Linked DNA regions of Nothobranchius furzeri. Each later gene encodes a partner of the first gene's protein in a complex. Links are inferred from orthologs where the notes say so. Each region holds a gene or a part of one and is shown in the gene's direction. Other genes may lie near its edges. The genes, in order: nsun4 and mterf4.

Region 1 (11,030 bases):
CCCGAGCTGTTTATCTACACAACTATTAGCAGACCTGATCATAAATCATCCAAATTTCCAGGGTATCATTTTCTTGATGATGAATTTCACCGAAGTCAGTTTGCAGATGATACCACTTTAACTGTTGGGGACAAAGCTATGGTAGCACTAGATGGTTTACTTTGTTCCAGAGCAGCAGGTTTTCATCTGAACACGAAAACACGTGAATTAATTTCACTGTTTGAATGTGAAGAAATGATGTCAATTCCTGTTAGAAAGGAAATAAAATATCGCCCGAGCGTTTTCCCAGCTGATTCATCCGCGTCCATCTCTTTCATCACTCCAAAAACTGGGACAATATTAACTCTATTATACAAACTTGTGTGGAGAAATAAAACCACTCATCACTGTCTCAGTCGGTTAAAGAACGTGACGATGGAGGCGTGAAATCAGTGGTTTTGAAGCAATGCTGGGAACATTTAAAGTAAAGTGGTTGAAAGAATTTCTATTTAAGCCAATTTGGTTTCAAACTCCAGACAATGTCTTTAAGATGTTTGGTGGCTTCAACTTTCTTCTGAAATGTGATTGGAAATCACCAAGATGCCTTTTACATGACCTGAGTTTCATAAACAACTTTTGCATCATCGGAAGATGTATTTGCCCATAATTTGCCCCAGTAGTGCCACCTTGTGGAGTAATCGAGTACTTGTTTCAGACACGTTTTTGTTCCACCAGCAGCCGTTTGACCAGGGAATTCTCTTTGTGCCTGGTATTCTGGTTAGAGTGGTGGAATATTACAACCACGAGATGTTAAATACAAATTTAACAACATTCAACGTTCCCATAGAGGAAAACCTGTAAGCCTGTCCCGGTGGCAACTCTTCTCTAATGTTCAAACCAAACATCCTAATTTAACAAAAGGAGAAAGAAACGTTACTGACAGAAAGTGTGAAAATAAAATGTTTAAACTGAGTCTTTAAAGCAGGGGTCCTCCATTATAACGGTCCCAGGGCCACTCAGAAAAGACCCAGAAGCAAGAGGCCCGGTCGGACCGGGGTGGGTGCTGCTGTGTGGGTCGCTGGCTGTAGAACACACAACACACAAGCTTGCAATATAAAGCAGGACAACACCTGTCTAACCTGCCCTGTGGGACCCTCACCATGTGACCCTCATGTCCATGTGATCCTCACCATGTGACCCTCATGTCCATGTGACCCTCACCATGTGACCCTCATGTCCATGTGATCCTCATGTCCATGTGACCCTCACCATGTGACCCTCACCATGTGACCCTCATGTCCATGTGACCCTCATGTCCATGTGACCCTCACCATGTGACCCTCACCATGTGACCCTCATGTCCATGTGACCCTCACCATGTGACCCTCACCATGTGACCCTCATGTCCTGTGACCCTCATGTCCATGTGATCCTCACCATGTGACCCTCACCATGTGATCCTCATGTCCATGTGACCCTCACCATGTGACCCTCATGTCCATGTGACCCTCATGTCCATGTGATCCTCATGTCCATGTGACCCTCACCATGTGACCCTCATGTCCATGTGATCCTCATGTCCATGTGACCCTCACCATGTGACCCTCATGTCCATGTGACCCTCACCATGTGACCCTCACCATGTGACCCTCATGTCCATGTGACCCTCATGTCCATGTGACCCTCATGTCCATGTGACCCTCATGTCCATGTGACCCTCACCATGTGACCCTCACCATGTGACCCTCATGTCCATGTGACCCTCACCATGTGACCCTCATGTCCATGTGACCCTCATGTCCATGTGATCCTCAGTCCATGTGACCCTCATGTCCATGTGACCCTCATGTCCATGTGACCCTCATGTCCATGTGACCCTCACCATGTGACCCTCACCATGTGACCCTCACCATGTGACCCTCATGTCCATGTGATCCTCATGTCCATGTGACCCTCACCATGTGACCCTCACCATGTGACCCTCATGTCCATGTGACCCTCATGTCCATGTGACCCTCATGTCCATGCTGTCTCTGGAGGAGCAGGTAGGAGACAAGACCTCCTGTAACCTAAAATGAACCAACGCTCCCTCCCAGTTTCTCTTTCAGCTGAATTTAACATCAGTTTATCATCATGGAACAAAAGAATAAAGTGGAACAAGAACTTCTGTCTTTATTTCTCTCTCCTTGTAACTTCTCCGTGTCTCTAAATAAGAGACAGGTTACGCTGCAGCCGCCGTCACTGACCCCGCCCCCTCCCCAAGACCGGATCTCCCGACATCACAGCCCTCGGTCTGACTGAGCGCTTCGAGCAGGAAGTTATTTTTTTCTCTACCTCTGCCTCGGTTCCTTATTGGGAGCAGACCCGCCTGGGGCTCTGGTTGTGGGTGTCTAAGCCTTGCATTCGCTCACACACAATCGTTCATGCCCGCATCTCAGTGCATTGATTCTTTTCCTCAGCTCTATCCTAAACCTCCCATCAGCCGTCGGGGGCGCGCGGGGTTGGGGACCACAAAGAGAGGGCTCGCAGGCCGGAGGTGGCCCGCGGGCCGCCTATTGAGTACTGCTGCTTTAAAGGATGTTTCTATCATGATTTTGATAGAAAGTTTGAATTAAAAATATTAGGAAATCCAAGACAAACATTTAATTTTTTTAAATGGACAATAGCACCCAAAGTAAAAGAAATGCAATTTAAGATGTTTATGTTTATTTATTTAGCAGACGCTTTTATCCAAAACGACGTACAGGTTATAACCTATAGGGCATGTTGTGATCTGTGGGGGGAACCGGAGTACCCGGAGGAAACCCACGCATGCATGGGGAGAACACGCAACTCCACGCAGAAAGGCCACAGCCGAGTTTTGAACCTGCAACCTTCGTGCTGCGAGGCAACAGTGCTAACCACTGCACCACCATGCAGCCCAAGATGGTTAACAGCTCGTATCCATCAGCAGAGACACTGAGGAGTAGATCTGGTTTTGAAGTTGACCCTTGCGACCTCTGTCATGGAAGCCCTGAAGGGACGGAAGCCCTGAAGGGACAGAAACCCTATCAGTCAGCTGTCCTGTTAGCGATACGTTTAGGGGGAACTCCATTGTTGTTAGCAAATAAAATCAGAGAACTTGATCATTTTACAAATGAACATATTCTTATTTACAATACTAAATCAAGCGGTATTGTTTCATCTTTAATTAACGTTGCATTTATTCATAATAATAATAATAATAATAAACAACTGCCAGATTTAAACTGGTTTATAAATGAATTCTGTATGTTCTTATAATCTTCTCCGTCCCTACACCTACAGTCCCTACACCTCCAGCAGGTCCCTGAGGTCCAGTGACCAAACCCTACTGGTCGTGCAGCACCAGGCTAAAGGTCAAAGGTGACAGATCATCTGCTGCTGTGGCCCCCAGACTCTGGACCTCTCTCCCCCTGAGCCTGAGATCAGTGGACTCAGTGGTCTCCTTTAAAAAGCAGCTGAAGACTCACCTGTTCAGGTTTTGGTGTGACCTTCTTCATCCTCCTTGTTCTGCTCTCCCCACCTATTCCACCTTCCTCAGGATCCACTGATTTCCCTCTTTCTTGTTCACTCTCTCTCTTTCTTAACATTTTATAACCACAACTGTCTATTTTTGCTCATTTTAAATATATTTTTAATCATTTTCTGAATTATTTTTATATTTAAAATTTTTTATCTTGAGAAGCGCTATAGAAATGATATTTTCTTCTTCGTCTTCTTCTTATCCACATTAAAACTCCAATGCAGCTGCAGAAGCCATTTGTCCTGCTGCTAACAGGTTTTTGATCCTGCAACACTTTTCACTTACAAGTGCCTCTTTTTGTTTTTTAAACTTGTGTTTTTTCTTTTTTTTTTACTGTTAGGATTCATGCCTTGCATGTTGCTATATTTGTTGTTGTTTCCATGAGAAATTGCAATAAAAACAAAAGCTGTTAAATCCGGTCTAACCGGTCATGGAAGAACATGTTCTCCTGAGACCCGTGAGGACCGCTACTCGAGAGCAGCCCCTGAGTTTGGACACAATTGCAGACATAGAATTGTATATAAACATATATACACATAAATATAAACATAGATATTAATATAAACATATCTATGTTTATATTAATATATACACATAAATATAAACACAGATATTAATATAAACATATCTATGTTTATATTCATATATACACATAAATATAAACATAGATATGTTTATATTAATATCTGTGTTTATATTCATGTGTATGTATTAATGTAAACATAGATATGTTACATACATATCTATGTGTCGGGACATGGGGACATGTAACGCTCCAAATTACGCTTCCGGCGACCAACGAGCCGACCGGAAATGGAGGAGACGGAGCTTTTTTTTTATTAGAGAAGATAACATACAAACAAAATGCACCTTACATTATATATTCAAAAGATAATCATTACATGCATATTAAACATTTTCACGTATATGAAAAAAATAAAAAATAAAATCTAAAGATGGGGTCACATAATTAACAGATTATTAATTTACTAACTCAAAATCTTCTACAAAGGAAATAAACAAACCAACCTTTTTCCTTTTGACTAAATTCAAAGATTAACTAATAATTTTAAGTCGTTTTTCCAATAGGCTAGAGTTGGTTTGGTCTGAAAAAAATCGACATTTATGTATAAATTGTTTACACAAAATTAATAACACATTAACACCATAACTAACTTTCTTTTCTGTCAAAAACACTCCAAACATTATCATATTTAAGGTAAATGGGGCAATTTGCATCCCACTAGAACAAAGCCAGGCATGAAAATCTAACCAAAATATTTGTATAAAATTGCACAAAAATGATGGTCTAAGTCCTCTTCTGAGGAGACGGAGCGTGAGCGACTCGGAACCTTGTTTGGAACACAGGATTAGAGCCGGACTGGAAAAGCTGACGGACGGGATCATGGCGCTGCTCTTGAACAGGTTTCCAGTTTTCTTTAGAAAAGTCTGCGAGCTGATCAGGCTGACGCCTCGACGGAACCGAGTGAAAGAGAAATGGGTACGGTACGAAGCCCTACATCAGCGTAAACTAGTACAGCAGCGGAACGGTGCGTTTGACAGACGTGCCGCTGCTCAGGAAGCAAACACCTGATAAATAATGCCTGAAACACGACGTCTAGCTGGCTAGTTTAAAAAGTAAAGCACTGCTTATGTTTTATACTTGAGCTGTCTTTAACATCGCCCATCCTATTTTACATTTACTGTTTTACAAAATGTAGGTTCTTGGTATTTCTGTTTTTGGTCATTTTTCTGAAACTATTCTGATCATGGTGGCTTACTGCCTGAATGTAGTCCACCGGGGGACGCAGTCCCTTTAGTGTTTATTCTTCTGCAGACACTGAAGCAGCTGCGTGCACCACCACGCGGCCGTGGAGGTGTACTACAACCCACCGTAGCAAAAACACACCAAAGGTTTTTCATGCTGGGTGCTGTAGGCTGCCTGCTCGGTGAAACTCACGTGCACCGTGTGTGGAGCCACGTCCTCCTCTTAACCGGAGGATTAGATCTCTTGATTGGGAGTGTGCCCCCCCCCACACACACACACACACATGAGGCATCAAAACCGGCCATGGAGTTGTGGCATGTCATGAGGAGGGTCTCACCGACGCCATCCCACTGTGGTTTGGGGCCTCTCTAACACATAGACACTATCTTGTGCCAGCAGACAGGAACTTTCTAGATTCTCCTCACTGTTCGAGGCTTCAGGTTGTCCCCATGGTGAAATACAGGTCACACCGGTAAAGTAACAGCAACCCTGAAGTCAAATTTCACACTAATGTTAGGTTTCTCTTTGGACAGGCCGCCACCCAGCCTAAGCACCCCCCCACCCGCCTGGCCCTGCAGCACTTTGACTCCTCCTACGGCGCTCAGCTAGGACCACTGTGGCCGTCGGTTCGAGTTGCCCTGCTGTCAGAGAGGAAGTACGGAGCGCTGCTCAATAGTTTCTCCCACGATCTGGTGCTGGAAGACCTCCAGGTTCAGGGATGCAGAGACTTCATCAGCCACCAGGACCGTATGTGAGCCTTTACTGAAGGGGGGTCTGAAGGGTGGCCTGGGGGCCATGTGTGGCCCTCACCTGCAGCTCAAAAGTGGTAGAACATTTTCTCAGCAGCACAGGAAGAGAGATGCTCACGTTTAGTCATGTGTCGCCAAACAAAGACGTAGTTAAATCATGTTAGACAATCCCAAAGGGTTCAGCTGGACTTCTTTGGTTTCCTGAAGACGTTCCTCTTCTCATCCCAGGAGCTTTGTCAGTTCAGGCTGGAATATGGGAAAATCAAGCTTATCAGCTGTAGCTGTCTGCTGTTATTCAGCGAGCAGAAACTACTCTGAGTACCCCTCCACTCCAGAGAAGATAGACGGTGTGAGAGAGGAGTAAAAGAAGCAATCGATGTTGAACATTAAAAAACCTACTTTAAATAGGGGCGTGGCTTAGATCTCACCTTTCCAGTACCTGTAATGCAGCTTTGGATTTCGTTCCTAAGCAGTTTCAGTCTAGGCCACACCTTCCTGTCTCTAACCAACACAACGACTCATCGGGGGTAGAGAGGAGGGGTACTCAGAGTAGTTTCTGCTCGTTAGACAACAACAGACTTATAAGCTTGACTCCTCCATATTCCAGTTAGAACTGACAATGCTCCTCAGATGAGAAGAGAAACGTCTTCAGGAAACCAAGGAAGTCCAGCTGCCTTCATCTGAACCCTTTGGGTTGGACGGGGAAATGACGATGGTTAACTAGGCTGCCTAAATGTTCTAATGCATATCTAGTCAGAACCACTCAGGCTCCTTCCCCACCAGAGAGGAGACCGTCCACGTACCGAGAGCTAGCTTCCGTAGCCGAGGATCAGACCACCAAGGTCCCCGCCTTCCGCTGCCACCCGTCACACATTGCACCTGACCCCTCTGGCCCCTCTCACGAGGGGTGAGGGAAGTGGGACCCATGTTTCCTCTTCAGGCTGTACTCAGCCTGGCCACCAGGCGCTCGTCAGCTTGCCCTGCCTGCAGGCCTGTCTCCAGAGGGGGGCCCAGGGACCCGCGTCTGGGCGAGGGAATGCGGTTTCCTTGTACATTTTTCTTCATGAGGGTCTGTGGGCTGCTCACCTAGGACCTGTTTGCCAGGGGTGACCCTACCAGAGGCATTAAGCCTCAGACCACTTAGCTCCTAGGATCATTGAGACTCAAACCCCCCCTCCACAGTGAGGTGACAGCCCAGGGAGCGATTCTTGTCAGGTTTAAATTGTAATAAAAAAAGAAAAATAGCAAAACAATCATTTTGGGCATTTTGATGGTGGCCTGTAGGTTCTGTCAGAGTTAGGCCTGTGTTTGGTTTTTACACCACTTACTTAAATCATAGCGAGTCGGCTTGGATCCGACTGCTCTGCTGCTGCACTCAGTTAGCCGACAGTTAACTTTATTTTCTCTCTAAGTGTTTTTCTCCCCAGAAGAAGCTACAACGATGTTCTGCTGAGCTGTGGTGGCCTCATGGAGGGGGCCATCGTCTAGCACACTGCTGCTAACCACTTAAACATTCTCCCTCTCCTGATAATAACTTTTTGTTGTCCTTGACGTTGGATGTGCTACTACTAGTTTACCCGTTTAATTATAGAACCACTAGGATAAATACAATAAAGTTTATCTTTCACCACATAGAATATTTACTAAGACTTCACAATATAACTGTAGACACATTACTTTGTCTGTGTGTGTGTGTGTGTGTGTGTGTGTGTGTGTGTGTGTGTGTGTGTGTGTGTGTGTGTGTGTGTGTGTGTGTGTGTGTGTGTGTGTGTGTGTGTGTGTGTGTGTGAGAGTCGTGGAGGATGGCTGCTTATACTGAGCCAGGATCATCTGGAGGTTTCTTCCTGTTAAAAGGGAGTTTTCCTCTCCACTGTCGCTGCATGCTTGCTTAGTATGAGGATTGCTGTAAAGACTCTGACACTAGTCAGTGACTCGATGCAACCTGCTGGTTCCTTATATAGGAAACTTGTTACTGATTGGCTAAAAGCTTCTTTCCGGAGTATTTCTCTTATCCGATGGCACCATCTAGTGGCTGACAAGCGTATCACACAAAGCTGCTGTTCCTCTGTTTTTTAAGATGACGACTTCACGTTTCTGTTTATAAACGTGCTTCTGTAGCGACAAACGGAGCTAAAACATGTTGTTGTACGAGTTTTACTCTCATGTCATGTTGTGTTCTCATATTCATGTTTTAGAGACTTACTTGTCCGTGAAAAGTTCATCAACTCTGCATCAGCCGAGGTCTAAGCAGAAGTCTAACGCTATTGGTTAGTTCTGGTCGGCGCTCAGCTTCCTATTGCACGGAGCTCTGCCGGGCAGGGGGCGTGCTTAGCAAACAAAAAAAAGACGTATTGCATGTATTACATCACAGGACATGATGAGATCATCACTTTTCCGGATTTCTGACAAATCATGCATAATTTCTGAAAGAGGAAACCTCCGGAAAGCAGCTTTAATGACCTGACCTGTGTTGGAGTGTTTACTGTGTGAAGGTCCTTGAGACGACTGGTCCTGATGTGGAGCTACAGAAATAAACTGAATTGAATTGAAAAGTTTAAATTTGGCGATTAGCTGAACCGTTGTCATCTTTTCTGCAGGCCTGGTATTCGGGGCTGAAGAAGGGTCGTGTGAGGTTTCTATGACATCACTGGAGTTTCTTAGTCAGCAGCAGTACCCTCCACAGCTTAGTCCACACCTAAAGTGCTTCGTGTTTCCAAGAGGGGATGTCACACGGTTCAAGCCTGCAAGGTGAGGATGAGTCCTAATCAGGTGTCATCATCCAGTCCAGTCTCATCCGAGTTCCTTCTATCCATCAAAGGCCGGACAGGTATGGCCTGTTGGGGTACTACCTGATGGACGCTGCATCCATACTGCCTTGTCTCGCGCTGGATGTCCAGAAGGGTCACACAGTCCTGGATCTCTGCGCTGCTCCTGGTGGGAAGACCCTTGCTCTGCTCCAGACTCAGCTGATCAGTGAGTGAACTCCTCACCAGATTCTTACGTGGTGATTTTTCTCCTGCTGTTCAATTCAGTTTATTTCTAAAGCACCAAATCAGGACCAGAGTCGTCTCAAGGACCTTCACATGGTAAACATACAGTACAGGTCAGGTCATTAAGCCAGTCAGTAACAAGTTTCCTATATAAGGAACCAGCAGGTTGCATCGAGTCACTGACTAGTGTCAGAGTCTTTACAGCAATCCTCATACTAAGCAAGCATGCAGCGACAGTGGAGAGGAAAACTCCCTTTTAACAGGAAGAAACCTCCAGATGATCCTGGCTCAGTATAAGCAGCCATAAAAATAAAGTTAACAGCTGAAATAGCAGGAACTAGTACAGTTAAAGAGCAGATTGTAGACCAGGGGTGTCAAACTCAAACTCACACGGGGCCGAAATGAAACTCTGGGACGGAGTCGAGGGCCAAACTTAATATTTTTTGAAAAAGTGACGCAAATTAGCACATTTTCTTTATCAACATATATGCAATTTTGAACCTTTAAATTTGGAAACAAACTTATTTCTGCATTAACACTAAATGTGGAATAACCAAATTACACTCGAGCAAGTCAGAAAGGCATCAGTGGTATTCATTACTTGTGGTATAATCAGCATTTTATAAATCTATTCAGGATTTATGTTTTCTTGTTTATTCATTTTTCTTATTTTTTATTCTCCTTTTTTCTCCTGTAATACGTGTCATCGCTGCTGTGACGTCTAGCTTTCCCCACTGAGGAACAATAAAGGGATTTTCTATTCTAGTCATCCATCTGCAGCCTTTCCACTTCCTGTTTACTGTAGGTTAAATCTTTTCTCACGGGCCAACAACTAAATAAAAATATCATTTTATCTTAAATGAAAATGCAACATCTCACCTGTTAACTTTCATGTTTTGGAGCAGAAAAAGAGCATCAAACCAACATATTTAAAGCTCAGTTTGCTCCACTGGTTTACTGTGATGCTCACCTGTTCCAGCCAGATACCTGCATCATGGGGTTGATCTGAGCTGAGGAGGAGACTCCTGTTGTTTTGTTCATCTTCATCATAATAATGACAACATTAGATGACAACAGGTGCTCACATAGGTTTGTGCTGATGAACATGTCTGAGCAGCTTGACCACGTCGGTGTGTGTCGGGGAGGAAACACAACCACAGAGCCGTGCTGGTTTGAGCGTGTCGCTGCTCGCTGGAGTTATATCAGCTCTGTCTGGACGTTAGCTGGAAAACTTTCTCTTTCAGTCGTGAACACATTACTGAGCAGCTAGAATCTCCGTTTCTGGGCTTCAACGTCAGAAAACAGCTGAGTGAACTCGGCGCTGAGTGAGAGGAGTGTAGTTTGTCCGAGACAGCGGAGCTGCAGAGACCGGCAGCAGGCGCTGAAAAACACAAAGGAGGGGGCGCATCGGCTCCGCGCTGACGCCGCAAAGCATCATGGGAGTTGAAGTCTTTGCGGTATCATTGGCCAGCGGGCCAGTTTTAATATATTTTTGATAATTATCTCGCGGGCCACATAAAAATGCTCCGCGGGCCGCATCTGGCCCGTGGGCCTTGAGTCTGACATATGTGTTGTAGAAGAAAGCAGTAGAGTGTGAAAAATGGTCAGTGTATCCTCCAGCAGTCTAAGCCTATAGCAGCATAACTACAGAGATAACTCTGGATAATCTATCCTATTTAGATGGAGGCATGTTGGAGGCAGGGCAAGGGAGAGCCGTCTTTACCGACTGTACACTCCACCTCCCTCTACTCCCCCACTTGTCCAGATCTAGGCTAACATCAGATTTTAACTATAGGCCCTATCAAATAAAAATGTTTTAAGCCTATTCTTAAAAGTAGACAAGGTGTCTGCCTCACGGACTAAAGCTGGGAGCTGGTTCCACAGGAGAGGAGCCTGATAACTAAAAGATCTGCCTCCCATCCTAATTTTAGATATTCTGGGAACCACCAGTAGACCTGCAGTCTGAGAGTGAAGTGCTCGGTTAGGAACATATGGAACAA
Region 2 (10,867 bases), about 17 Mb from region 1:
GACACCTGCTGTTTGGTTCCCACTGAACCATCTCATCATAACGGAGAAGAGCATCTGGGCAATGTGGCTCCGGAAAATAATGCACCTGCTATTAGAATTATTCCTGGTGCGACTTTTGGCTTAATTGTCTTTTCTTTTAAATTAGTTTGCAGCTGTTTCAACTCAAAACATTCACCAAGGTGTATTAAACAAGTAAGAAAACATTTGATACGATTAAATAAAGTTTTTTTTTCTGCATTTCTGTTTGTTTTGTAGACACTCCTCGTAAGGGCAATGCTGTTAATGTAGAAAAAGAGCATCACTCCTACACTTCTGTCCTCCAAGACTCAAGCTTTGAGATCATCACACTGGATAGCAGGTGAGGGGTTAATGGAAACTTCAAACATTACTCTGCATAATTCATATAGTTCACTGGTGACTAAGTTTATTCAATTATATTCTGTCAGATCGGCTTCTTCCGGCTTCTGTGAACATCTCGCTGGTCAGGCTGGTCCTCATCCTGCCCAAGCAGACGAGTTCAATTCAAAACATTTTGTGAACTCAGCTAGTTGCTTCCTGGACATCAACAGTGATGGAGATGTGATCACCCGTGCTCTGGATGAGCTCAATCTCAGTGGTAGTATGGAGCTGCTCAGCACCGGAGGTTCCAATGGGAACAACCAGCACTCCGCGTTGTCTTGTGATACAGCTGAGCTCCTACGAACACCTTCTCCATGTGTGGTGCTGTCTGACGATGATGAAGCGTCTGTTCCCCCCGCCGCAGAGACGAGGAAAGGTCCAGCTCAGGAGCAGGATCAGTGGGCAGCTTTGTCTGTTATTCATAATGCAAAGAGCCAAGAGAGCTCAGGGCAGGTGAACAGTGCGGTTGGGCCTCTGACGGACATGCCTGCCACGTCAACGCCTAAGAAGCAGAAAGCAAATGAACACATTCTATCTTCACATACACGCATACTGGAGGGAAGAGTTGAAGGATGTGGATACCACAGAGATGGCACAAGAGTAGGTTAGTAATAAAGTTCCTACTTTTGATCTGTTTTACTCATTAAAACCTCAAACACAACTGCAGGGCTAAAAGTTTCTTATTTTTCCCTCTCTACATCTAGAGGTGCAGTGTGATGTGTGCCGGTCCAACCTCCCAGATGGAAGTTTCATGTTCTGCGTGTGGATTAAAAGGTCTAGCCAGCAGGGGGCGTTGTTGCAAACAGATCTATCGCTTCAAAACCAATCAGGAAACAGTTCAGGAAAGGTCAGTGGCACTTGTGACCACAGCACATTAGAACTCATCGTGTTCCTCGTTCTAATCTTTGTTTCTTTCATCAGAGGATTGATGAGGCTGGTGTAGGAGAAGTGCTGCGCTCCACGGTGGACCTCGAGCACTCTCGAGCCTGCGACGGACAGTTTGAAGAAGAATACCAGCCAATCAGAGCTGTGGGTAAAGGAGCTTTTGGGTTTGTCTGGAAGGCAATAAGACGCTGTAACGGACAAGAAGTGAGAGCTCAAGCTTTATCTTTGTAGCTTTTTTCTTTTTGGCTTCTTTAAGACGATGAGATTGTAAAGATGTGGACATTTTGCAGGTGATAGTGAAGTTCATTAGCAAGGCCAGGATAGTGAGTGACTGCTGGGTGGACGACCCCATGTTGGGCAGAGTGAGCCAGGAGATCGCCATACTGACTCGAGTGCAGCATCATAACATCGTCAAGGTAACTGCATTGTTGCTTTGAGGAAAATATGACATTGAATTCTCTGTTTTTACAAATATTCGTCCTTCTCCAGGTGTTGGAGGTGTTTGAAAATGGAAGTTATTTCCAGATGGTGATGGAGAAGCATGGAGATGGTTTGGACCTTTTTGAATTCATCGACATGCAGCCAAGGCTTGACGAGCCCCTGACCAGCTACATCTTTAGACAGGTGTGTGAAAGTCCCAGCAGTACTAATGACGGGTAAAGGGCGCTCTTAGAGCAAATGTGATATTCTTGTCTCCCCTCCAGATTGTTGCAGCTGTTTTCTATCTGAGGTGCAAGAACATCATCCACAGGGACATAAAGGATGAAAACATCATAATTGACAAATGTTTTCACATTCGACTGATAGATTTTGGCTCTGCTGCCATACTGGTTCCTGGGAAGCTCTTTTATAATTTCTGTGGCACGATGGAGTACTGTTCCCCAGAGGTGCTCCAGGGCAATCCGTGAGTATTTAATAATAAGCTACTTTTTATTTTGTTTTATAGACTTTATGGGTTAAAGAGCAAGACTTTCCTTTTTACTGTTCAACTTGTGTTTTTTAAAAGCTAGCTGGGTTCATCTGGATCTGCGTTATCTGAGGACATTAAAATTGAACAACCGCTCCAATTTGTCTTTGTCAATCAGCTCCCATGTGGTCTACAACAATGTGTGGGTGTACACAGCTGCAAGGTTGTGTCCCACTACACATAAAGTAAAAAGCCATCTTCAGTTTCATGAAATATGAACTAAAGTAAAACCACCGGGATGGCTGCAGTAATTTCCTACCCAGTTAAAACACTCTGTAGATACTCATTAGCATGTGTTTTACCCATGCTTAATGTAAATGTTGAAATCACAAATGTGCGAAAGGTCACAGAAGATGCTGCAGTCTCGCTTTCCTCTCTGGCTACCTCCTGCATATTCTAATGGACTTGAGTCATTAAAGATTGGTAACTGCTGTTAAAATGTCACCATGATTCCTATAATGCATGTTATCACCTTATCTGATCATGTTTTGGGCTCTTTTCTAGCTACAAGGGTCCAGAGCTTGAGATGTGGTCTCTGGGGGTTTTACTATACACTCTGCTGTTCAGTGAGAACCCTTTCTGTGATGTGGGGGAAATACTGGATGCCAAACTAAAGCCCCCATTCCCCTTGTCCTCTGGTATATATTTTAATTCATTATTTTGCTAGCTTATCCTTTTGCATTCCAGTCATGTACCTTCTGTTTACTCTCAGAACTGCATGCGCTGCTGCGTGGCCTGCTGCACCCCGATCACACAAAGAGGATGACCTTAGACCAGCTCCTGTTGCAGGCCTGGATAAGCCAGCCCATCTCCCTTTCAGAGTACAGCTGGTCAGAGGTGGTTTCTGCAAACCAGAGCCTCTGTGAGTCCTCATCAGCACCACGGTCAGACACTTTTAACAACAACTTTTTTTTTTCAACTATTAAGGGGATTCTTTTCTTCCAGCAGGCACATCACACCATCAAGAAACCAGTCCTAATGCGTACATCAGACCAGACTTGTTCCCAGATTATGGAGATGAGTCTCTACCTGAGGAGGAAGAGGAGGATGAGGACGAGAGGATGGCTCTGCAAAATGAGCTTCAGAAATACCTCCAGAGGAATGAAGACTAAATTTAAAGAGAAGGAAATCTAATTGGCTATTATAATTTTTGATCAACTGTGGGAGGAAAGTGAAAGTCAAAAGAAAAGCTTGCTTTTAATTCAAGATATTAATTAAATCTTCTATGTAGACCAAGGTTTTAGAACCAAAGTGGCATTGTGACTCGTCACAGTGTGGCCTGCCAGTCATAATCAGACACTTTTGAATTGTCTGCAGCTGTTTTTCTTTTATAGTGTTTTTAGGTTTTTTATTTTTTATGAACAGTAGCATTTTCTTTTTGGTAATTTTTGTTCAAATTTATCTTGAAATCTTTTCTATTTTACCTGCATGTAAGTATATTTACAATATTTTTATATTTATTTTTTACATCAATAAATATCTTCACTATGCTGCTACAAATGTGTTGGGCCTTTTGAACATTAATGAATGAATTGCCTTGCTAATAAAGATAGAAGGACTTGTACTTCTTGTGAGTTTGTAGCACCGTTTTCATTTTTTTACAGAGAAACCGAATCAAGTGACCTTAACCCTTTAGAGTTAAACGCCAATATGAAGTTAATAGCATTTGCTTTGCCTGCTAACAATTGGTGAGTAAATAGGGCAAATGGGGCTTTATATTAAAGTGTGTTGAGTTTATTTTTTTAATTATGCCTATATTGACTAAAACAATTGTTTCAGAGCTTGTAAAAGTTCTGGGAAAATGAATACAGAAATTTCATTTGTAAATAAGTAATTCTCATGTTTAATATGTTCCCTTTTGCATTTTGGGGAGTGCGCGCTACGTTAACCACCAATAGCGGAACCGTTTATGTGTCATTTTCTAACGGAAGATGATGTGCAACGGACGAAAAGGGCAACTCGTGTATCCTGACGGAAGACAATACGTAACGGACAAGAAATGGGAACCCGTGTAGCACATCAGGTGAGTAAAAAAAAACCTAAAATTTATGGAATACAACGTGTTTTTAAGTCGACGGAATTCACGTTTTGCTATAATTAGTCCAAAAGTCGCATATTGTAATTTACAATTTTGACTTGTGCAACTTTATTGTTTTTTAAGTGATGTCATTGTTATCCTTTTGAGATCAAACGTGTTTATAATGATTTATTTCCATAGGTTCTTCGGTGGACTGTAAAAAATGTCTATTACTCTGGGTTCAGTCCTCTCTTTAAGAGATACCGCCTCCCGTTGTCATGCATCCAGTGCAGGTATTTGTGTTCCCCTCCGCACAAGACGGCTGCGTCACCACAACACAACTGTTCTCCTGAATCCGATAAACCAATAACCGAGCTCTCCCTCAGCTCTTTGCTTGAAATGGGATTCACAGATTCCCAGGCGAGGCACATATGTGACTCTGTGTTTGAAATTAAAAAAGAAAGTTCTGTCAAAAGAGTTTTATCGACACTCACAGTTCTCTTCGTCCTGGGCCTCAACCCCACAAGTGTGCAGAAAATGCTGGACATATGTCCAGACCTTTACATCGTTAAAGAAACGCTGCTGCAGCAGCGCATAGATCACCTGAGGAAGCTGGGTTTGGTCGAAGGTGAGGTCATCATTTTAACATAATGGAAAAACTGGCTCACGATTCTGTAAACACGTCTCTGTCCTCTCATTTGTCTGACAGGAAGTCTTCAGAGGATGGTGGTCCATTACCCCAAAATCCTGACTGTACCTGTGAAGTCAGTAAAAAACGTTGTGCAGTTTCTCCGAGAGAAGTGCCTGTTTACCACCCAGCAGGTGACGGATATCCTCAGGGACACACCAGCAGTAGTCCTGGAGGACCTGCTTCAGCTGGAGTACAAGTTTCAGGTCAGGAAGTTGAGCAGAGTTGAACAAAAATATTTTTGTGAAACTGATGGGCCTTCATAATTGGGACCGCAGTAGCTCAGGAGGTAGAGCAGGTTGTCCAGTATTCGGAAGGTTGCAGGTTCAATCCCGGCTCCCACAAGAGACTGCTGCTGTTGTGTTTTTGGGCAAGACACATAACCCACCTTGGCTGCAGGTGGTGGTCGGAGCACCGGTATATGGCAGGGCTCGCCTCTGTCCATGCCCCAGGGCAGCTGTGGCTACATTGTAGCTCATCATCACCACTGTGTGAATGTGTGTGTGTGATTGGATGGATGACTGATTGTGTTGTGAAGCGCTTTGGGGGGTTGTAGAACTCAGGCGCTATAGAAGTATGGGCCATTTACTGCAAAACAACTGAAATACGTATGTGAAGTTAAAAATACAGTGCTCAGCATAAGTGAGTACACCCCACCACATTTGTCAGAAAACCTTTAGTTTCCTTTCAGAATCCACATTTTCTATGAGATACCACACTAAAAAAACTCCCACAAACGTGGGCCATTGATTGCAAACAAGATTTGTTCATTTTCCCACACGAAAAAATGATTTTCCTAACAAATCCATTCAAACCTATGTTGCAAAAATAAGTACACCCCAATTATAGTCTCAGGAGAAAAGTCACTCTACAAAATTCAAATTAACAGACATTCAACCACTAGTGAGTCTAATCAGGTGTCCAGCAGACAGGTGACTGTAGGCCTGGGACGATAATAAATTTTGCTGGACGATATATTGTCCAACAAATTATTGACGATCAACAATATTATTGTCGACATTATCGAGACCAAAATAACCACTAATGTAATGTTGATATATTCCGATCACGTTTTTTTTGCTCCCGATCCGATACTTTTCAGAAAGGCATTAAAATAAGAAGAAAAAAATGGGGGGGGGGGGTCAGGAAAGCACTAAAATCAGAAGAAAACACATTCAAATTGTCCACTTTAATTTTTGTAGGAAGTACACCGATTAAAAAACTTATTTCTACTGTGAATATACTTCAAAGTAGCAGTGTTGCTCTAATAGACCCTTTTACTACCTACGTCATCAAAAGTTGCGCACGCACCCTGGCAACGAGAGCGACGGCTTCCTCATTCACGCTCGATACTAAAACAGCGTTTTAAACCCTTTGTTTTGAAGTTCTGAGCACATAAAAATGTCGGGTTGTTGCGTGTATGGATGCCAGAATCGCTTCTCTTCAAGCAGTGGACTGAACCTTTACAGAATTCCGAAGGGAGCACATCCATTTCAACAAAATCGGAGGCGCCTGTGGCTGCAGGCCATCAAAAGGGTAACTGCAGCCTTTTCCGTTTTCCCCATCCTAACACAAAGCTCAACTCTGAATAAAATTGCTGCTGCGTGGCTGCAGCATGACCCAAGTCTGGAACATCAAAATGACAGAATTAAACAAATTTATACGCTTTATTTCATGCTTCAAATTAACATTTCATTCTAATTCATCTGTATTTTCCCACTGCATATTAGTATAAACTGTATTTCTCTAAAATTAACACGATTGTACTCTGAGCACGCTAAAAAAAGAAACCTATGCTATACTCACCCTGCCATGCAGGTACAGTTGGCTGTGAAGACGTAGTTCTCTGGTTTGTTTACTCTGACCCAAGCCTCGTACGTAGCTGTCTCGTGTCCTTGTCTTTGGCTAGGAAGGACTTCTGCCTTCAAGACGCAAAACTCAGAGTCTATGTCGTGATATTTTACTTTCTGTACGTGGCCACAGACAACATAGTTGTATGCATCTAACGATTTGTATGCCCGTAGCTTCTCACGTGTGTACTTACTGGGCCTCTCCACTAAAAACGTATATATATCGGGCCACTGGATATCTGCCCACGCACCTACATCTTCCACCCATTCCGTAATGCCACAGGGATCTGGGAGTATGTTGCCATTCGTTAAAGTGAGTTTAATAATATAACATTCAAGATTTGCCGGTGATAACCCCGCAGCGTAGCTTGATAAAGCCTGACACAACGCCATTCTCTGTTGCCGAGCTGCGCGCGCATTCTCGCTGACGTCATATTGTTTACAAACAGTAAAAGGGTCTATTTCAAGTTGTTTACTCCCTCAATATGCAGCTGAAGGTCAGCCTTTGGCAGGCAGGTAACTTTTCTCTGCATAACACCTGTAGCGTCAGTGCACAGCTCCCGTGCCAAGGGCTTGTCCAGGGAGTGGCCTGGGGTAGCACATGCTACCTTTGGAATCTGATTGGCCACCCCACCCTTTTAAATTTACTTTCCATTGTCCATAAAAGGCTTGGGGTTACAAACCCCAAGACAGTAGGTGGCAACATGTGCCTTTAAAACTTAACTCCAGGCCTACAGAACATTTCTGTAATATTGTTATTATTATTTTCTTTGTTTTCTATATTGACAGAATTTGACAATTAGGTTCTCGCTCCCAGTCCCACTCCTTTCCAGTTGGTGCCAGTATTGCACTAAGAGGTGGTTACTTCATATTGAACTGTGACTGTTAGAGGTAAACTGGGGATTAATGGAGACCGGTGATTAGATTTGTTGATGCCCGAAGGGAAAAGCCGACAGCAAAAGTAGCTTGTTTGAAGGCAGCGAATCATGGAGCTGTTTCCAGTATGTTGAACGCCCAATATGCACACACTACAAGTGTCTGTAGCTCTGCCTTTGCTGTCCGGTTTAAAATACCACCAAGCTGTAGATATTTCTGCTCTCCTGAGGAGACACGTTAGCTCTGTGTTAGCAGGCTTCAGTGTTGCCAACTCCCCCTGATAGAAAGTAGCTGAAGTTGACCCAGAAAGTCACCCAGATGTCGCCAGATGATGTCAAATGCTAATTTGCATATTTATGTCATCATCACGCCACATTGCTTTCATTTTCCCCGTAGCATCTAAAAGATATATATATATATATGTACTGTATATATATATATATATACTGAAGATTTTAAAAACATGTTGGTCTTTTTAGGACTAAAAGGGAAGAAAATAAAAAACTATTTCATGTGTTAATGTTATTAATTAGCATGATTAAAATGGCCCAAATTGCTTTGATATGTAAAATAAATTCCAAAACTACCAATAAAGTGGCATTAAGACAGATATGGTGTGGTGATCCAAACAGTTCTGTTGTAGGATATAACTCAGACCTGCTCTCCTCATTCTCACAGACATTTTCCTAAAAAGCTGGGGGTTTTTTTTTTGCACCTCACAACTCAACTTCTCTGTTGTGTTTTCTCTCCATCGTGATAATAACGGCGCACCGAGCAAAAGGGAGCGGGTGTCTCGTGGTATAACCATCCCTGTGTCACTGAAGGAAATTCAGATGAGCCACAGCGCTGCGTGTGTAAACGGGACGGTAGTTGAGACTCCCGTTGACTTTATTTGCCAAATGCAGGAAAAACCAAAGTGTCTGACGGCTGCAGAACCAGAGATCACAGGTTGACGCCTGTGCTGTCTCTAGTAGAAGCGTGAGCCTGCAGCAGCAGCAGACGTAAGTCGGCGGTCTCCAGCTCTGCAGCTGTACCTTTGTCTTCGCCCAGCCGAAAATGGTTTATGATTGGTCAGTTCTCATGCACGTGTGCAGATTATCGTTCTCTTTCCTTACTCCTGGAAGACCGGTTCAGAGTGCAAATGGTTTCTTTGTTGCTAATCTGTAGGGAATATCTACAAGAAAGTTCTACAGAAAGTAGCAGTGTCCTGAGAAATGTCGCTAGGTTTGTCGCTAGGCGCTTTTTGGAAAAAAAGTCGTTGAGGGGGGTCAAAAAGTCATTAGGAAGAGCGACAAAGTTGCTGAGTCCTTGCCTGCCGTAAATTGTGTGACGTTACTGAGTTGTTTTCATACAAGAAACAAATATTATTGATGTAGAGGAACTAACTGAAATTAAAACTAAATCATTTTTATTTAATTTGAAAATCTCTATCTCAGGATTAATTTAAAAAGTCACGTTTGTTGTTTTAAAAGGTTAAATCCATTTTATTTCTCCCGATTCCGATCCTTTATAAAAACACGTGATCGGGACGATTTCCGGTCATGTAGTCGGATCAGACCATCCCTAATCATAATAATGCAAGTACACCCTTTAAAATGCAACAGTTAAACTTTTATTTAACATTGGTATGTCCAGAATCAGAACTTATAAATAAATAAAACTGAATGAACAAACAATAAATATGTGGCAGTTTGGGCATCCTTTCGCTGTGTCTCGATTGATCATGCGGCCTGGCTACTTGGCCAAAGGGATGTCCCTTTGGCTGACTGGTAAGCACGCATGACTCCAACCCGGGAGTCTGGGGATCCAATCCCGCCCTGGCCCTCGTTTCTCCACCTTGCCACATTTGGCGTTGTTGGCAAAAAAAGCCAATATCGTCTGACTGAATGTATCGCAATATATCGTCTTGTCTCCCCTGTATCGTGATACGTACCGTGTTGTCAGAGTTTCACCAGTACACATCCCTAGTGGTCATTGTTGCGGGGTGTATTCATTTTTACTTCAACCAATTTTAGTAAAGCTGAAGATTTTGTGATCTAAGTTATATTATTAATCGTAATTTCATGTTATGGGGTTAAACAAGTGTTCACTAAAACCCAGTCTTGTGAAAATTCTGGAAATTGTTCTTTTGTTCACTGAGCTACTGATTAAATTTGTACTTTATAAAGGGGGTGTACTCATTTATGCTGAGCACTGTATGACCTACATGTATTCTAAATATGTTAATAGATGCCACATCGCTGCGTAATTTGTTGATTCTCTGACTGATATGTGAAGGTCACACACTTGATTAGAATTTACACAGTAGACCAATTCTGATTTATTGACTTCCTCAAAACATGACTAAATATTACAGCAAAGGATGAGTCATAAAAGTTTGACCACCAACTTGTGCACACACACACACACACACAAAAAATAAGGAATTACTTGATCTTTTGTAAACACACAACTACATTGCTGCTGATTTAAACAGTCATATGTAGGTTTTGCTAATGTAATGGTGCTCTATCTGGTGGTCAATAATGGCTGTACATGGATTATATGTGATGCTTTTCTATCTTTTTTTAAGAGAACATATTCAATTTTCTCCACAGTATGTCTACTTCCGAATGGGCGTCAAACAGGCAGAGATGGTGAAGTTCAGGTTGTTCCGTTTCACTTTGGATGACGTCCGCTGCCGACACACGTTCCTGGAGCGACGGGGCCTTTACCAGACTCCAGATAAAAAAGGACAGACAACGATTATCAACCCCAAACTGGGTGACATCCTTAACGTCGACCAGGACACGTTTGTCTCAAGTGTTGCTCGGGCCTCGGCAGAGGAGTATGATATTTTTCAAAAACTTTTGGCAAGGGAATGTAAGGAAGAAGAGTTACTGCAGGGTAGGGTTGAAGCTTATAGTGATGAAGATGATGATGGGGATGATGAGGAGGAGGAAGAGGAAGAGGCCAAAGGAAGAAGTGGATATGAGAAAAGAAGAAAGAAAAAATAGCTGAAAGAACAGAACATGAAAAAAATCAAGAAACTAATCACATTTATTAGAAAATGCTGTTAAAGCTGATTTATCAAAGAATGCTAAAATAAATCAAACATGGAATCATTCTGTCTGTTATGTTTTTCTATTGAATTGATCGAACCTCCTGATGTGGAATTGATTTTTGTGTTTATCTAGGTGAGGTGT

What was found.
Region 2: the proteins of nsun4 (region 1) and mterf4 are in contact, whole or in part, in a crystal structure (PDB 4FP9), measured with the Homo sapiens proteins. The link is inferred for Nothobranchius furzeri from reciprocal best matches to the Homo sapiens genes NSUN4 and MTERF4. Residues at the interface, in NP_950245.2 of Homo sapiens: Pro61, Ser62, Arg64, Val65, Leu68, Ser69, Glu70, Arg136, Gly137, Asp138, Ile139, Arg141, Asn367, Leu368, Met369; in NP_872307.2 of Homo sapiens: Tyr267, Glu269, Arg270, Leu271, Gly272, Arg273, Glu311, Glu312, Val315, Phe316, Lys318, Leu319, Arg322, Glu323, Glu326.

The regions. Positions count from the first base shown.
Region 1 is NC_091751.1:73,206,302-73,217,331, forward strand, and holds the start of nsun4 (5-methylcytosine rRNA methyltransferase NSUN4), read left to right. Parts: upstream 1-4,877; 5' UTR 4,878-4,928; coding exon 4,929-5,024; intron 5,025-5,824; coding exon 5,825-6,038; intron 6,039-8,637; coding exon 8,638-8,788; intron 8,789-8,858; coding exon 8,859-9,013; intron 9,014-11,030. UniProt on the Homo sapiens protein: Mitochondrial RNA cytosine C(5)-methyltransferase that methylates cytosine to 5-methylcytosine (m5C) in various RNAs, such as rRNAs, mRNAs and some long non-coding RNAs (lncRNAs).
Region 2 is NC_091751.1:55,899,449-55,910,315, forward strand, and holds mterf4 (transcription termination factor 4, mitochondrial), read left to right. Parts: upstream 1-4,150; 5' UTR 4,151-4,250; coding exon 4,251-4,274; intron 4,275-4,469; coding exon 4,470-4,896; intron 4,897-4,977; coding exon 4,978-5,162; intron 5,163-10,279; coding exon 10,280-10,678; 3' UTR 10,679-10,786; downstream 10,787-10,867. Other genes in the region: pask (PAS domain-containing serine/threonine-protein kinase), read left to right, coding at 1-106, 256-358, 447-1,003, 1,104-1,246, 1,321-1,488, 1,575-1,700, 1,774-1,908, 1,989-2,188 and 3 more. UniProt on the Homo sapiens protein: Regulator of mitochondrial ribosome biogenesis and translation. Binds to mitochondrial ribosomal RNAs 16S, 12S and 7S and targets NSUN4 RNA methyltransferase to the mitochondrial large ribosomal subunit (39S).